Linked DNA regions of Lepisosteus oculatus. The protein of the gene in region 2 binds, or shares a complex with, the protein of the main gene of each other region. Links are inferred from orthologs where the notes say so. Each region holds a gene or a part of one and is shown on either strand. Other genes may lie near its edges.

Region 1 (7,574 bases), on a different chromosome or scaffold from region 2:
ACCATGGGAATCACTATTACGACCTGTGCAACTAACTTATATTACATTATGGTGTAGTTAGTAAACCAGTCTAGTTTGCAGATGATACCAAATAGGAGGACTAGCAAAGCCTGCAGAAGCTACAAAGGAAACTGCTAAAGATTCAGAAATCAAGAGCGAACACTTTGACATCAGCTGATGGAGACAAGTGAAGAATACTACAAAGGCAGCAAAATAAACTATAAATAAAAATTGGAAACCCTGAATTTGAAGAGTCTACTTGTGAAAATGGCTTGGGTGTGTCTGTTGATGCATCAATCTTCTACACAATGTGAGGAAGAAGCAAAAAGGAAAACACATTAAAAAACAGTTTTAAGCACAATTAATAGCATCCCTTTATACATTAAAGTTGTACAAATCATTTGCAAGTCCTCATTTAGAACACTGCAGGGTCAGATACATTCCAGGGCTTAAGGAAATGTCCTACACCGACAGGGATGAAGCCATTCTGTGTCTTGGCTCACCTGTTATAAAATTATTTATTAGTAAATGTGTGGATTCTATCTTCACAGCCATGTAGCATCAGGTTTTATTTTGCATACATTATGTGTTATTTATAATTATTTTTTTCTTGAAACTGCTCATATGTTTGTATCTGTTATTTCAAGTACGTTGACACCACAAATAATTCCTAGCAGCCCAGAGGATTGGTTTGTGAAAAAAGATGATTTTGATGAGCTACAGAATCCAAACCTTTAAGTCTCGAAGAGAGACGACTATGAGGGGACCTGATAGCAGGACAACCTCAAAGAAAGAGGCATCACCAAACTCTCGTTCTTCTGCACCCTCTGCGAGTCGAAGCGACACATGCGTATCCGACGATGAGGGACGCATCACACTTGCCCTTAGCTTGAGGGTGAGGGTGTGAATTGCCAAGCGCACCCCCCCGAACCCAGGAAAGGGCAGCAGGGCGTGGCTCCTATCCAGGAGACGGAGGGGGACTCACCCGTCCTTCTTTTCAGGTTTGGGGGCTGCGCTGGGGCACCGCCTGCCGTTCTTGCTGGAGACGTAGCTGCACTGCCTGTAGGGGGCGCTCTTGTCCTCCAGCACGTGCTTGAGGCAGTACTCCAGGCCCTCCAGGCGCGGCTGGGAGCACGGCCGGGGGGAGAAGGAGCAGGAATGGGACTCCTGCGCCCGGGCCTGGGGGGTCACACGCCCCCGGCTGGACGGCAGCACGTGGATGCGGATTCGGTTCATGCCCAGGCCTGGGGGAGAGAACACAGGGATAAATACAGCTGGAGCTCACAGCCCCTGCTCAGCACCTCCCAATAACCCCATCTATGAACTGGCTTCATTACTCTGCTCTCCTCCCCACTGAGAGCTGGTGTGTGGGGAGAGTACTGGTGCCCTCTGGCTGCTGTCACATCATCCAGGAGGGGCTGCACATTGGTGGTGGGAGTGGGATTCCCCATTACCTGCAAAGCGCTTTGAGTGCAGTGTCCAGAAAAAAAAATAAGCGTAAGGAATTACAAACTCATGGCTACCAGCAAGCTCTGAGCACAGTGGTCAGTGTCCTACAGTCACAAAACTAATTACTCAACACTCCCAGCCAGTGCCTGAACACAGTAATCAGCATCACACAGTTACAGAGCTGCAATTATGAACCGGCTTCATCTGTCTTTTCTCCTCCAAACTGATAACTGGTGTGTGGCGAGTGTACTGGCGCACTCTGGCTGACGTTGCATCATCCAGGTGGGTGAGGGGAGTCTCCACGACCTGTAACGATCTTTGACTGGAGTGTCTAGGAAAGCACTGTATAAGTGTGAAGAGTTATTACCATATAGCCACTCCAATCTGCTTTTTGGCAAATATCTGTGCAAACCATGTCCTCCTGGATGAGTGCTAGAGCAGGACTGAGTCACACAGGGGGGCAGGGGGGGGATGACTTGCAAACTTCAACACTCAGCCTTCCAGAGCTTCTCTACACCAATTTTAAATTCTTCAAAACTTTTTTTCCCCCCATTTTCAACAGGGTCCTATCCAAGACCGTCTTCTTCAGTACTGATACTGCTGCAGACAAGTCGCTTCACGTGTACATGACCTCCTATGGCAACCCCCCCGCCCTCGTGCTTCGTTAAGAACATGTTCAATATCAGAGTGTGGGGGGGCAGCTGGTCAGGGCCACTGAACACACCAGGTGCCTTTCAAGACAAGGCGATCTCTCGACTGCAACTGATACCGGCCGAGAAAGAGAGAGAATAAGTCTCTAAAAGATGGATACGAGTATTTAATGAATGGCTGCCAAAGAACACGTGCATTTCTCCCTAACTGATAAAAAAATACAATGTTTTCCTAGCTACCTTTAAAACACGTCGACAACACTACAGCATCTGATTGCGTATGCCGAAATCGTCATCTATGCACCAGAAGTTAAAAGCTGTTGTATCGTGGGCGCAAGTCGTGCCCCATCCCTTCGACTGACCAGGCGTGCTCGCCCGTTTCAGAGAAGCGCGCACGGAGGAAGCCAGGCGCGACAATTTAAGAAACCTACTGAGTGGAGGGGGGATCTTTGCACCCGCTGAGAGACTTCTGTGATATCTTACGCCTTGATCTTTGTTTGCGATCTTTTCAAAATGCACCGACATGTTATAAAAACATTTACAGCGCCTAGACACGTTTCAGCCGCAGCTCTTCTTAATAACGCATGGGTCTAAAGGCACAAAGCAAAGCCACTTGTACCATACAACTAGCTCGAAGCAAAGCAAACTCTGATTTCACTAAGGAGCCTGCACACCCGCCTGAAAGGCGCCTCTTGTTTTGAACGCGAACATTATTTCCCCTTGTCTCGTTCCAATCCGCGAGTCAGCCATCTTAACACATCTACGAAACATCTCCCCTCCCAACCCCCGCTACACTTCTCTTTCTTTTCTGTTAGTAAAGATAATCCCACCCGCTTCATAATCAACACAGTCACCCAGAACAACAACAAAAAAAAAATTACTAGTATGGCTCATCGTCGCAACACCACGTTTACCAGACATCTTACCTCGACCTCGCCCGCCACTCGAAGAGCTTTAACCGCTCCGGTCGGCTCCCTCTGTCGGTCGGCCGGCTGCCACCCCCCCCACCGAGCCAGGATTGGCCAGACACAAGTACCTTGGAAACACGTCATTGGTTTGTCAACATGCCAATCGACATACAGCTCGGCCGGGGATTGGTCAAAATTAACGCTTATCAATTTGGGTCAGCCTACCGAAGAGCTCGGATTCTGGCGAAGGCAGTGCTTGTACAGACTGCAGCGTTGTAATGATTTAAGAATACATCCTCTGATGCACCTGGACACATCATCAGTATTCCTACCAGGGGTCTTTCAACATCAGACACCCTCGCCCAGGCGACCCAGCCAAGGTTGTTCAAGCCCTGGCTTGCGTCCAGGTGGCTTTGTTACCCACGGGTCACTCCTCTAATTATTATTATGATGAATCATTTTTTGCACTTATAATAATAATAATAATAATAATTGCTTACACTTATATAGCGCTTTTCTGGACACTCCACTCAAAGAGCTTTGCAGGTAATGGGGACTCCCCTCCACCACCAGCAGTGTGCAGCCCCCACCTGGATGATGTGACAGCAGTCAGAGTGAACCAGTATTTTCTCCACACACCAGCTATCAGTGGGGAGGAGAGCAGAGTGATGACCCCAGATCAGAGATGGGGATTATTATTAAAGAACAGAACCCGATTCTAAAGTAGAATGTTTGGAGTCTGGATTTGAAAGAGTTTAGGGAAGGTGACTCTCTGATATCCTTGGGGATGGAATTCCAGAGCTCTGGGGTGCAGCAGGAGACGGCCCTGTCACCCCTAGATTGTAGACTGGTTTGGGGGACAGATAGAAGGCAAGAATGACAAGAGCGAAGGTTGTGAGGTGGGGAGTAGGACGACAGTAGCTCAGACAGGTATTGAGGTGCCAAACCATGCAGAGCTTTAAAGGTGAGCATAGGGATTCTGAATTCGACACGAAACCTGACAGGAAGCCAGTGCAAAGACTCCAGGATAGGAGTAATGTGATCACTTGCAGTAAACCTGGTCAGGATTTACTGGAGTTTGTTCAATGTGGATTTAGAAACCCCAGCGAGTAGAGCATTACAGTAGTCGATCAGGGAGAAGACAAATGTGTTGATCAGCTTTAAGACATAGTCTAGCGATATTTCTGAGGTGAAAGAAAGATGTTTTGACAATATGCTGCACATGTGGGTCGAATGTCAAACCTGAATCAAATATCACCCCAAAGTTTTTCAATTTAGACTGAATCTCAAGTACTGTATGACCCACAGATAGGGTTACAGCATTGGCTTTACAAAGTTGATGGGGGGTGCCAATGAGCATGACTTCAGTCTTTGTCACAGATTAAAAAAAGAAAATTTTGAACCATCCATGTTTTTAGGTCAGAGATGCAATTAGAGAGAACAGAAACAGCCACATCAGTGTGAGGTTTGGTATGGACGTAGATCTGAGTATCGTCAGCATAGAAATGATAGTTGAGGCAATGATCTTAAAAACTGACCAAGCAGAAATATGTAAATGCTGAAAAGTAAGGGGCCCAGTATTGAGCCCTGAGGAACACCAGACTAAACGAGTCCAATTTCAGACCTAAATCTGCCAAGAGAGACAAAGTGACAGCGATCAGTGAGGTAAGACTTGAAGCATTTAAGAGCAGTGTCAGAAACTCCAAACACAGGTCAAGACGAGAAAGTAAGATGTCATGGTCAACAGTGTTGAAAGCAGCAGTGAGGTCAAGAAGAATAAGGATAGAAAGAGAGCCAGAATCAGAAGCCATTAGAAGATCGTTAGTGACTTTGACCAGGGCAGCTTCTGTGTGTGAAGTTGTCGGAAGCCAGATAGGAGGGGTCTGAAAAGGTTATTAACAATGAGGTGGTTATGTAATTGAAAATGTGACAGCACAGTCTAGAATTTGTGCAAGAAAGGGAAAATTGGAGATGGGGCGAAAATTGTTTAGATTTAGATTTTGTGGCACAGGGGTGATAGCAGCAGTTTTGAGAACCACTGGTACAACACCAGTGCCCAAGGATTCATGTATTATATTGAGGACAACGGGGCAGAGAGAAGTGAAAACAGCACTGAAATGAAGTGGTGGGGACGGGATCTACAGTAATGTATGGGTGGTGGGTTTCATCTGTTTCGAAGGCCTTTTTTCAACTATTTCCAACCGCCTCTCTGGCGGTTTGGATGGCTTTCCTCTTGCTCACCCCTGTTACGTCCAAAAGACACAGAGGGACTGGCCTGCAAGTCCTCTGCAGCCCCCCCCCGACGGGCTCACCCCCTCCCACAGCGCAGACCTACCAGGTCTTCATGTCTGACTCCCTCCTTCCGCCAGCCTCCAGCGGGGACCTGTCCGCTCTGGCACGGCCGGCTGCCGAGATGCTTCACACAGCAATACAACGTCCAGCCCGAGTGCGGTCAGGGGCCCACCTGTCTTGCCGTTGCCAAGGAGACCCGCCGATACTTTGCACAGCGGACGCGGCTGCTGACCGGCTCTGACGGATTCGGTGGCCTGGTGATGTTTGCTGTCGTTGATATCCCCGCTAATAGCGTCCGCCAAGGGCTTCAGCCCCCGGTCGCGCTGCCACCGATAGCAGCCTTCTCCAAGGGCTTTCGGGCAACAGTCGAGGGCGTGCTCCAGTGGCCCTCACCCCTGGCACAAAGGGCATGCCGGCAAGCCGCCTCTGCCCCAACAGGAGAGACACCAGGAAGCAGTAAAGGTTTATTCCGTGCTGAAAAGTGACACCCAGAGAAGGCTCCACAGCTGAAACGTTGTGTTTCTTTTCGTCTCTTTTCTCCTCTTCTAACTAGCAAGACCTTATGTTAAATATGCAACTTTATGGGAAAGCAGAGGCTGATGTGTAGGAGTGATATGCTGCCAAGACTTGGTGCGAGTTAGAAGTCTAGTTGTCAAGTTTTGGCCATAATGCTAGTTGTTTAGAAGAGAGTGAGGAAAACCACAGAGTAAGGAGTGGCGGGGATCAAGCCTCTGTGTTTTAAATGAATCATGCAGTCAGCGTCGGACGTTTGTAAAAGAATCGTGAAAGAATGCATTATTTGCAGACTTGAAATTGTAAAAGAAAATAGGGGCCAGTAGGGGGCGCTCACCCTGCGGTCTGTGTGGATTCCAGTGCCCCAGTTTAGTGACGGGACGCTGTGCTGTAAAAAAGCCCTCTCCTTCAGCTGACGCATGAAACAGCGCTTCTGACTTCTTTAAAACGCCTAATTGTTTCTCGAAAAGAATAGAGGTAGGTATTCAAACCAAACTCCCCACTAATCTTGACAATCAACATATAGGAACAGGCTAGTTTTTGTTCTTTATATCGCCAATACACATGATTATTGGACTAATGATAATACTGTGGCTTTAAACTTGCGTAAAATAAGAAATAGCATTTTATACTAACTCACGCTCTGGAAGACATCATGCCTGGTCCCGGTACCAAAGAAAGGGCGCCCCTCTGTCCTCAACGACTACAGACCAGTTGCACTGACTTCTCACATCATGAAGACACTGGAGAGGCTGGTTTTATCCCACTGGAGACCCCTGGTCAGCTCATCACTGGACACCCTACAGTTTGCCTACCAGCCCAATGTTGGTGTGGAGGAAGCGATCATCTACATGCTGCAAAGGGCCTACTCACACCTGGACAGGGCTGGCAACACTGTAAGAATCATGTTTTTCGACTTCTCCAGTGCCTTCAATACCATCCAGCCCTTACTTCTAAGGAGGAAGCTGGAGGAGATGCAAGCCTCCTCGACCTCGTGGATCACTGACTACCTGACAGGCAGACCACAGTCTGTGAGACTTCAGAACTGTGTGTCTGAACAGGTAGTGAGTAACACAGGGGCACCTCAAGGGACAGTTCTTTCTCCATTCCTCTTCACCCTCTATACTTTGGACTTTAAGTGCAACTCAAAGTCATGCCACCTGCAGAAGTTCTCAGATGACTCTGCAATTGTGGGATGTATCAAGGGTGAGCAGGAGGAGGAGTACAGAGGACTGGTCAGCAGCTTTGTGGAGTGGTGTGGGGTGAACTACTTGGAACTGAATGTAACAAAGACAAAGGAACTGGTGGTTGATTTCAGGAGGAAAAAGGTCAAACCTACTCTTGTCTACATCCATGGGAGTGGCGTGGAGATGGTGGACTCGTACAAGGACCTGGGAGTGCACATCGACGATAGACTGGAATGGTCTAAGAACATCGAGGCCATCTATAAGAAGGGACAGAGCTGACTTTACTTCTTGAGGAGGCTCAGGTCCTTCAATGTGTGTAGTAAGATGCTGCACATGTTTTATCAGTCGGTGGTAGCGAGTGCCATTTTCTACGCAGTGGTGTGCTGGGGCTCTGGGATTAGAGCAGTGGATTCCAAAAAGCTGAACAAGCTCATCAGGAGAGCAAGCTCTGTCATTGGGTCTGACCTGGACCCCTTGGAGGTAGTGGCTGAGAGGAGAATGATGTCCAAACTAGAGACCATCATGGACAACTTCTCCCATCCCCTCTATGACAGGCTTGCAGGAATGAAGAGCCC
Region 2 (7,662 bases):
GCTCAGGTCTCGGTCCTTCTTCCTCCACCACCCTGCAGAAGTTCTCCTGGGCTCACCCGCTATTTCATTACATTGCTGTAATTTCATGTGGTGCCGCTTATTTTCCGTCACTAGTTCCTTCAAAGGTCTCCTGATTAATTTATAGGTGACTGATTGACGTTCTGCATGTCGGAAGCTAAGCAAGGCTGGGCTTGGTCAGTACTGGGATGGGAGACCTCCAAGGAAAGCCAGGTTGCTACTGCAAGCTGTCTGTGGACCAGTAGGTGGCACTCTTCACTATAAACAGGAATTACCAAGAACCAATATCTCAGAAAGGTGATTAGGGACACAGTGCTGAAGGAAGCAGGGGTTTTTGCTCAATTCTACTTTGAAGGGGTTCTAGCAGGGAGCCGATTCAGCATGCAGGAACAGGTGAAAGTTCATTCCATGCTGAAAGGTAAGAAACACTACATTTCGGCGAGTAGGTGAACTGGCCGCTGTGAAAACTGGCCCTGTTGTGAGTATGTGTATCTGCCCTGTGATGGACAAGCATCCCACCCAGGGTGTATCCTGCCTTGCTCCTTTCACTTGCTGGGCTAGGCTCCAGCTCACCTCCCCATCCTCACAACCCTGTACTGGATAAGTGCATCGGATAAACAAGTAATGGATTCCACTGCATCCTTCATTGGATTCTGCAATTCCAAACGTCCTTTGCTGTTAATTAACAGCAGTCGGAGTCCTGGACCTGAAAAAAACTCATGCACACGCCCTCGACAGTGGCATGAATTGGGCGGAGAGGTGGCTCTGTGGCTAAGGATCTGTGCCTGTGACTGGAAGGTTGCCGGTTCAAATCCCGCAGCCGGCAGAGGAATCCTACTGCACCCCTGAGCAAGGCCCTTAACCCTAACTGCTCCAGGGGCGCCGTACAATGGCTGATCCTGTACTCTGACCCCAAGCTTCTCTCCCTGTCTGTGTGTCTGTGTCTCCATGGAGAAAAGCTGGGGTATGCGAAAAGACGAATTCCTAATGCAAGAAATTGTATAGGGCTAATAAAGAAACATTAACATTAAAAGAATATCCTGCATCTATCCTTTGCCTTTTAGGAAAAGGGGGGGAGCTTCCTATCTAATAACAGCAGGTGGCAGGCAACTTCCTAAAAACGAAAGCTTTGCATTTTCATTTCAGCTCAGGGGAGTGAATCGACTGAAGAACGAACCAACCCACACGGGAAGTTCCCTTATTTTTAACACCGTTTGAGTCCAAGACAGCCTGCAATCCCATCTGGAACCTTCTGCTCATCTTTTTCATTACGTAACATTAAAGAGAAACACTGTCGAAAACTAGTAATTACTTCAATAGTATAGCAACGATAGTGCAACCCTTCAACTTATCAACCAACCTTATCAGCCAACTATTAAAAACTACAGGTTTGACAAATGTAGCTGTGTTAAAGGCACAGCTCCCGTATTATTAAAGTAAGAATCTGAGCATCCAGTCACGTGTACTTTCCAACTGTCTACTCGTTTTAATAATTATTAGCTTTTTATACTGATATTGTAATATAGCCAATAAACGTAAAAATCGCATTGCAGTTAGTTTTGTTGCTACACATAGAACGTTTGATATATTCAGTGTAGAAAAGCCTGAATAAAAGTAACTCTTTGAGATACTATTTTTTTTTGTATTTTAAAGTATTATTTGGGAATCAGAAAAGGAGGGGGCACTGGTCGTCAGCTCCAGGTTTTCAAAGAAGCTACACAAGACGCTGCGTTCACTTCTCTGCCGGCTTGAAGATGCAACCTCTCGGGAAGCTACTGCCGAGGAAAGAACAATATGCGCCATGTGAAGCAGGAGCACACGTGTGACCCCAGGCTTGCAAACCGGAGGTGTTCCTCGGCCCTAATGCAAATCGCCGTTGTAAGACGGTGGGGCAGGCTGTGTGTCACCGAGCCCTGACCCGGAGCCTCGCATTTCAAGTTGCGGAGCCGGAGGACAATCACTGCAGCTGCCGAGCACAAGTCGGGAGCGGAGTGACGCAAATGGCGCGCAATACGTTTCTCGCCCGTTGTTTATGCCACTACCGCGGGCTCCTGGACGAGTGAACCCCCCTCTAAAACCGGGGTGCCGTCCGGTTTGCGAAGTCGGGAGACTTCCGCTGGCGCCGCAAGATCTGTTTTATGGATCAACCCAAGATACTGGATTAACCGTTTTATTGCAAGCACCGCCTGGGTTTTGTTTCCTGCGTGCACAAAAACGTGGATCCAACCACGAAAAAAATATCACCTCCGACTCCACAGAGAAGCCAGCGGGACGTGCTAAAGCATGTCCTCGCTAAGCACAAGGTGGACGTTGCTCTTAGAAACACAAAGTATTTTCAGGATTTCGGTGTTTTAAAGACGGAAAAGTAAAACCCCACATTGCCGATACTCTCCGCCCGTTTGCCGATTTCAGAGAAGCTTACTGGCTGCCGGCTCTGACAGCAGCGGATTCGAGGCGCCTGATTGGACGAGCCGCTTGTCAATCGTTCGGCCGACTTTGCCGGGGCCTCTCCGGCCTGCACACATCAGTCTGCCGTAATTACTACACGAACTGAGAAGGGGACTAACTTCCCAGAAAACAGGAGGAAAAAAAAAAAACCTTCCCCCCCGAATCATCGGGAAAAAATTACATCAACGCTTCGGCTCTGCAAAACAAACCATCGCGAAAGCCACTCCTTACATACCCCCCAAACCTGCCCTTCACGGGACAAAATCTTTCTGTTTTCTCCAAAGTGTGAGGATAGCATCACTCTCGAGGAGACACATGCGGCAACTTTATTTTTTTCCCCCTCCTGATGCATGGCATCACAAACACTTCACATGGCAAATAAACAATGATGAAGGCTGAGTCGCACGCAAAACGTCGTCCCTAGCCCCGCTACGACGTGGGAACGGTCTTTACCTTGTATTTTCTTACGTGATCCCCCGCTGATGATGCATGTACAGTTAGCTACTCCTTCCCAGACTCTAGCGCACTGCCACCCTCTCGGTGTCGGCTGCCCACGCAGTTTATTTTCCCTGCGTGTGTGTGAGCGGAGAGAGAGACTCCGACTGCTGGCCTTCTGCGCTTGCGCCGGCGCGCCAGGCGCTCTTTCTGATTCAAGAAGTGTAGAATGTTCCTTTAAAATGGTGACGAGTTTTATTCCCAATTTCCCTTCTCTTTGTTCGTTTATTTCGTGCACGAAACATATACGTGCACGGTTACATGAAAAATATTTATTAACGTCCGCTCGGCCGCGCGTCCGAATGGAAAGAGAGCTTGTGTTCTCCCCCGGATAAGAAAATATTCACGTTTTGGTCGGGGTAAAATGCTTCTATCCGGTCTTCCTTTGACAGGGCTAAGGTTTTGGGGGGTACCGGGGTTTCTCAGCGAGACTGTCCAGGAAGAGGGGGGCATACTAAAATTAAATGGAAATGTTTTACCGCCAGCGATCGAGTGTAAGATCACTTAAAATCACTAAAGCGATGTCCTGGCTACGCTTACACTGAATTGACCTGCATTTATGCGCTTAATTCTTTAAAAGCGATGCAGCCTTCAACGATAATTATTAAGTTGATTTGGCTTCTAATTTGACGGGTCTTGATTGACTAATGCTGAACGGTAAAGCTAAATAAACTCGCATTTCATATTACACAGAAGTACTGATATTTTACTAGTAATCGCATTTCGCTTTGTAATATGAAATGCGATAGTTTATTAAATATGCGGTTAATTAAAACTACGAAAATGTTATGTAGCTTAAGGGAAAGAAGTAAAAAGTGACCTAGGTGAAATAGCGTGAGAACTTTTTCACTGACACGCATTATATGGGTAGCATATATGCTTGTCCTCCTCTCTCGTACCTTTAAAGTTACTCATACCTTTAGAGTTATTCTAAGCAACAAATCATTTTTATACGTTGTCTGGATTGGTTCCTTCACGATATTTGAGACATAATATAACGTTTTGTTCTTGTTAATATAAGCCGTTTTTTTCTCACAAGGCTTGAGTCCATTTGTAATCTTTTTTTATTTTATTTATTTTGGCATGATTTCTTAATTATTATAGCCACTCACAACTGGCAGCCCACTGAAGCTAAGCATGTGTGAGCCAGGTCAGTACCTGGATGGGAAAAACTAAGGTTGCTGCTGGAAGAGGTGTTAGTGGGGCCAGCAGGGGACGCTCACCGTGCGGTACATGTGGGTCCTAATGCCCCAGTATAGTGACGGGGACACTATACTGTAAACAGGCGCCGTCCCTCGGGTTTGACATAAAACCGAGGTCCTGACTCTCTGTGGTCATTAAAAATCCCAGGGCATCTCTCGGAAAAAAGTAGGGGTGTAACCCCGGCGTCCTGGCCAAATTTTCCATTGGCCCTTATCTATCATGGCCTCCTAATAATCCCCCACTATGAATTGGCTTCATTACTCTGCTCTCCTCTCCACTGATAGCTGATGTGTGGTGAGCGTTCTGGCGCACTATGGCTGCCGTCGCATCATCCAGGTGGATTCTGCACATTGGTGGTGGTGGAGGGGATCCCCATTACCTGTAAAGCGCTTTGAGTGGAGTGTCCAGAAAAGCGCTATATAAGTGTAAGCAATTATTATTATTACGTATCTTAAATTAAGTGTGCATAATTTCTTCCTCGCTACAGCCAAGAATTACCTGCTCAACTCTGACACGCTGACACGATTATAATGAGATTATACTGACATTTTTCCTCCCCTTGAACGGTGAGAGAGGAGGTGGTAGAGTGAGAAATATCCTTCAGTTACTGAACTATTTGAGCAGAGAAAGGTCATGCTCCCATTCTGTATTAATAAAAACGTTTAATTTATTTAGATTGAACCGTGGTTTTAGTTTATCAGTAATTAGAACATTATTTTAGTAGCCGCTATTGATAAAATAGATGTGTTCATCTCTACTCAGAAACCGTACGTACCAAACTCGAGGCATATATAATAATAAAGTGAAATGTATGTATATAGTACTTACAGGTTATTCATACCATCCACTTTTGGAGATGAGCTGAAGTTATTACTCTAGAATAAGAAGGAGCTGTTTTGTATTACTTACTTGAATCATAATGTCAAAAACTAAACTTTCACAAACTGAATTACAGTACTCATGCAGTAACGAGGAAGTTAATGCCAATAGGACATACGTAGGTAGTGCGTGTTCAATCTACTCCAAAGATAAACTATACAGGGGGTTTATAGCAAAGTTTCTAATGTTTTCTGAAAGTCAAAATGTATTCTAACACACCCAACAGACAAGACATAAAAATAACCTCAGAATTTTAAAGATATAGAGAGCATATTTCGAAAGATGAACAATTGTGAAGTTTGCAACAGGTTAAATGATTAAACGTGTTGCCACACTTTTCAGTCTTATATCTTATATATTTGAACTTTTTATAAATATTATCTTTATCGTTTTAGCAAATTACGATTGATTTCTGTACCCGATTATTTCTGGCACAGTAGACTGTGTGGAAAAGAACTTCTGCATCTCTCCAATTATCCCAGCAGAGGGCAGTCTCAACATTTTGTTTACTTGGTAGTATCCCTGTTTTATTCGAAACCCTACCATTGAACGTAACTATGTGCAGTAATAATAAATGAACAATTCGGAATAAAGTCTGGTTAAACCGCTTACATAATCTATTTACGGAATAACCAAATTTCACATAATTGATTTTCAAGCCATAAAACAACTATTGAAACAGATTAATTCACACAATACTGCGCTCAGACAACGGGAGTATTCCAGCTGTCTAGGAAAGCTCCGTTAAGTTGCCCCCCCCACACAGAAAGCACAAACGATGAAACCCATCTCATTCGTTAGTGCTACGTTTGTGCCAGTTTGTGCCGTTGAAAGGAGCGTCTCTGCTGCTTTCGTTTCCGAGATATAAAAACCTTTTATTTCCGGGGTCGTGACGTCATTGAGCTCCCCTACAATGTCGTAGGGAAACCAAAACGGTCTCATTCGTTAGTGCTACGTTTGCTGCTTTCGATCCCGATATATAGCGCCTTGTTTTTATCGGTGATCACGTGACCATGGCTATGTTCTATCGCAACATATGGACTTCATGTCGCGACATGGGGGCAGGGCATTTTGTTGGGGGTATGTCATATCGCGATATTCGGGCTTTATGTCACGACATGGGCATAACAGGTTTTTCATATCGCAATATATGGACTCTATGTCGCGACATGGGGGGTGGGCGTTTTGGCTGGGCATGCCATATCGCGATATAGGGCCTTTCATGTCGCGACATGGGCGTGACAGTTTTTTCATATCGCGATATATAGACTTCCTGTCGCGACATGGGGGCGGGGCATTTTTTGCCCGGTAGGTCATATCGCGATATGCGGGCTTCATGTCGCGACATGGGCGTGACGGGTTTTTTCATATCGCGATATATAGACTTCATGTCGCGATATGGGGGCGGGGCATTTTTGCCGGGTATGTCATATCGCGATATGAGGGCTTCATCTCGCGACATTGGTGCGGGTGACGTTTGTCATATCGCGATATGTGGACTCCGTGTCGCGCCATGGGGGTGGGCGTTTTGTCGGGGGTAGGTGATATCGCGATATATGGACTTAATGAAAGTGGCGGCATGACAGTGATGTGCCAGTCGCAGTGGGTATCAGGATGTGATCGTGATGCGCGCACTCCTATTGTGACATGCTATTGGAGTCGTGAACGCGCTGTGGATGCCTTGACATTCTTTGTCTGCTATTCAGTTTTGACCTCAGTGCGACTTCTCTTAGATTGATTAGTAATTGGAAACCAATGGATGTGTTACTCTATAACCAGCGTACTCATGCAGCACACACGGTTAACCAGGGCTACAGTATTTGGCGAAGAACATCCATCACCTGTGTATCTACATGTTCTAGGAACTTCCGCTGTTGCACTTTATCCAATCAGAGTGTCGATTCTCACTCTTTACCCAATCGCGGCCCGGACTGTTCGGGAGTTTTAGCCAATCACGGGTCTGAGAGCTGTTCAAGCTAGTAGCGCCTGCTGGATCGGCTTGTTTACTGTCAATGAGAATCTATTTTTAAAATGCTTTACTTATTTGCAAAATAACTACATTGGCTTATTTGTTAACGTCTTTATTAATTCACAATGTCCCGTACTCTTTGAAATAAATATATTTTCTATTTGCAATATAACTGTCTCCGCTGCTTTCTGTAATGAATATTTATTTGAACAATTTTAATCGTATATTTAAGGTAGGGGAAACACTTTCTGATTTGTACTTCAAAAATTAATAGAAATGTAAAGTCTATGATCATGATATTACTATGCTCGTGCTTTCAATTTTTTTTATTGTTAAATTATATCGATCTTGAAACTAATACCCAAAAATGGGAATATTGTCTCTCGTGTTGTACCAGCGGTAATTTAGAAAATTTGGAAGCAATACATTTTCGAGAACATGGTTATAAATTAAAAGAAAACACCTAACCCAATAAACTAACATATTAACTCCTCCCTAAAAGAAAGTGTTTATTAGTAAAGGCTGCAAAGTCTGGGGTCAACTTATCAAAATATTTCTTTTAAATGCACTTCACGTTAGAAAAGACGTATGTTGACAACTACGAAATAAATAAAAAAGCAGTAAATACATTGGATTTATGAATGTGGGTT

What was found. The genes of interacting proteins can lie anywhere in the genome.
Region 1: phf20b (region 2) and kansl2 share a complex: the UniProt entries of both Homo sapiens proteins name them as parts of the NSL complex. The link is inferred for Lepisosteus oculatus from reciprocal best matches to the Homo sapiens genes PHF20 and KANSL2.

What each region holds. Positions count from the first base shown.
Region 1 is NC_090696.1:14,506,843-14,514,416, forward strand, and holds the start of kansl2 (KAT8 regulatory NSL complex subunit 2), read right to left. Parts: upstream 3,031-7,574; 5' UTR 3,021-3,030; coding exon 2,981-3,020; intron 1,245-2,980; coding exon 986-1,244; intron 1-985. UniProt on the Homo sapiens protein: Non-catalytic component of the NSL histone acetyltransferase complex, a multiprotein complex that mediates histone H4 acetylation at 'Lys-5'- and 'Lys-8' (H4K5ac and H4K8ac) at transcription start sites and promotes transcription initiation.
Region 2 is NC_090711.1:7,202,011-7,209,672, forward strand, and holds the start of phf20b (PHD finger protein 20b), read right to left. Parts: upstream 3,006-7,662; 5' UTR 2,920-3,005; intron 2,846-2,919; exon of another isoform or gene 2,702-2,845; intron 1-2,701. UniProt on the Homo sapiens protein: Methyllysine-binding protein, component of the MOF histone acetyltransferase protein complex.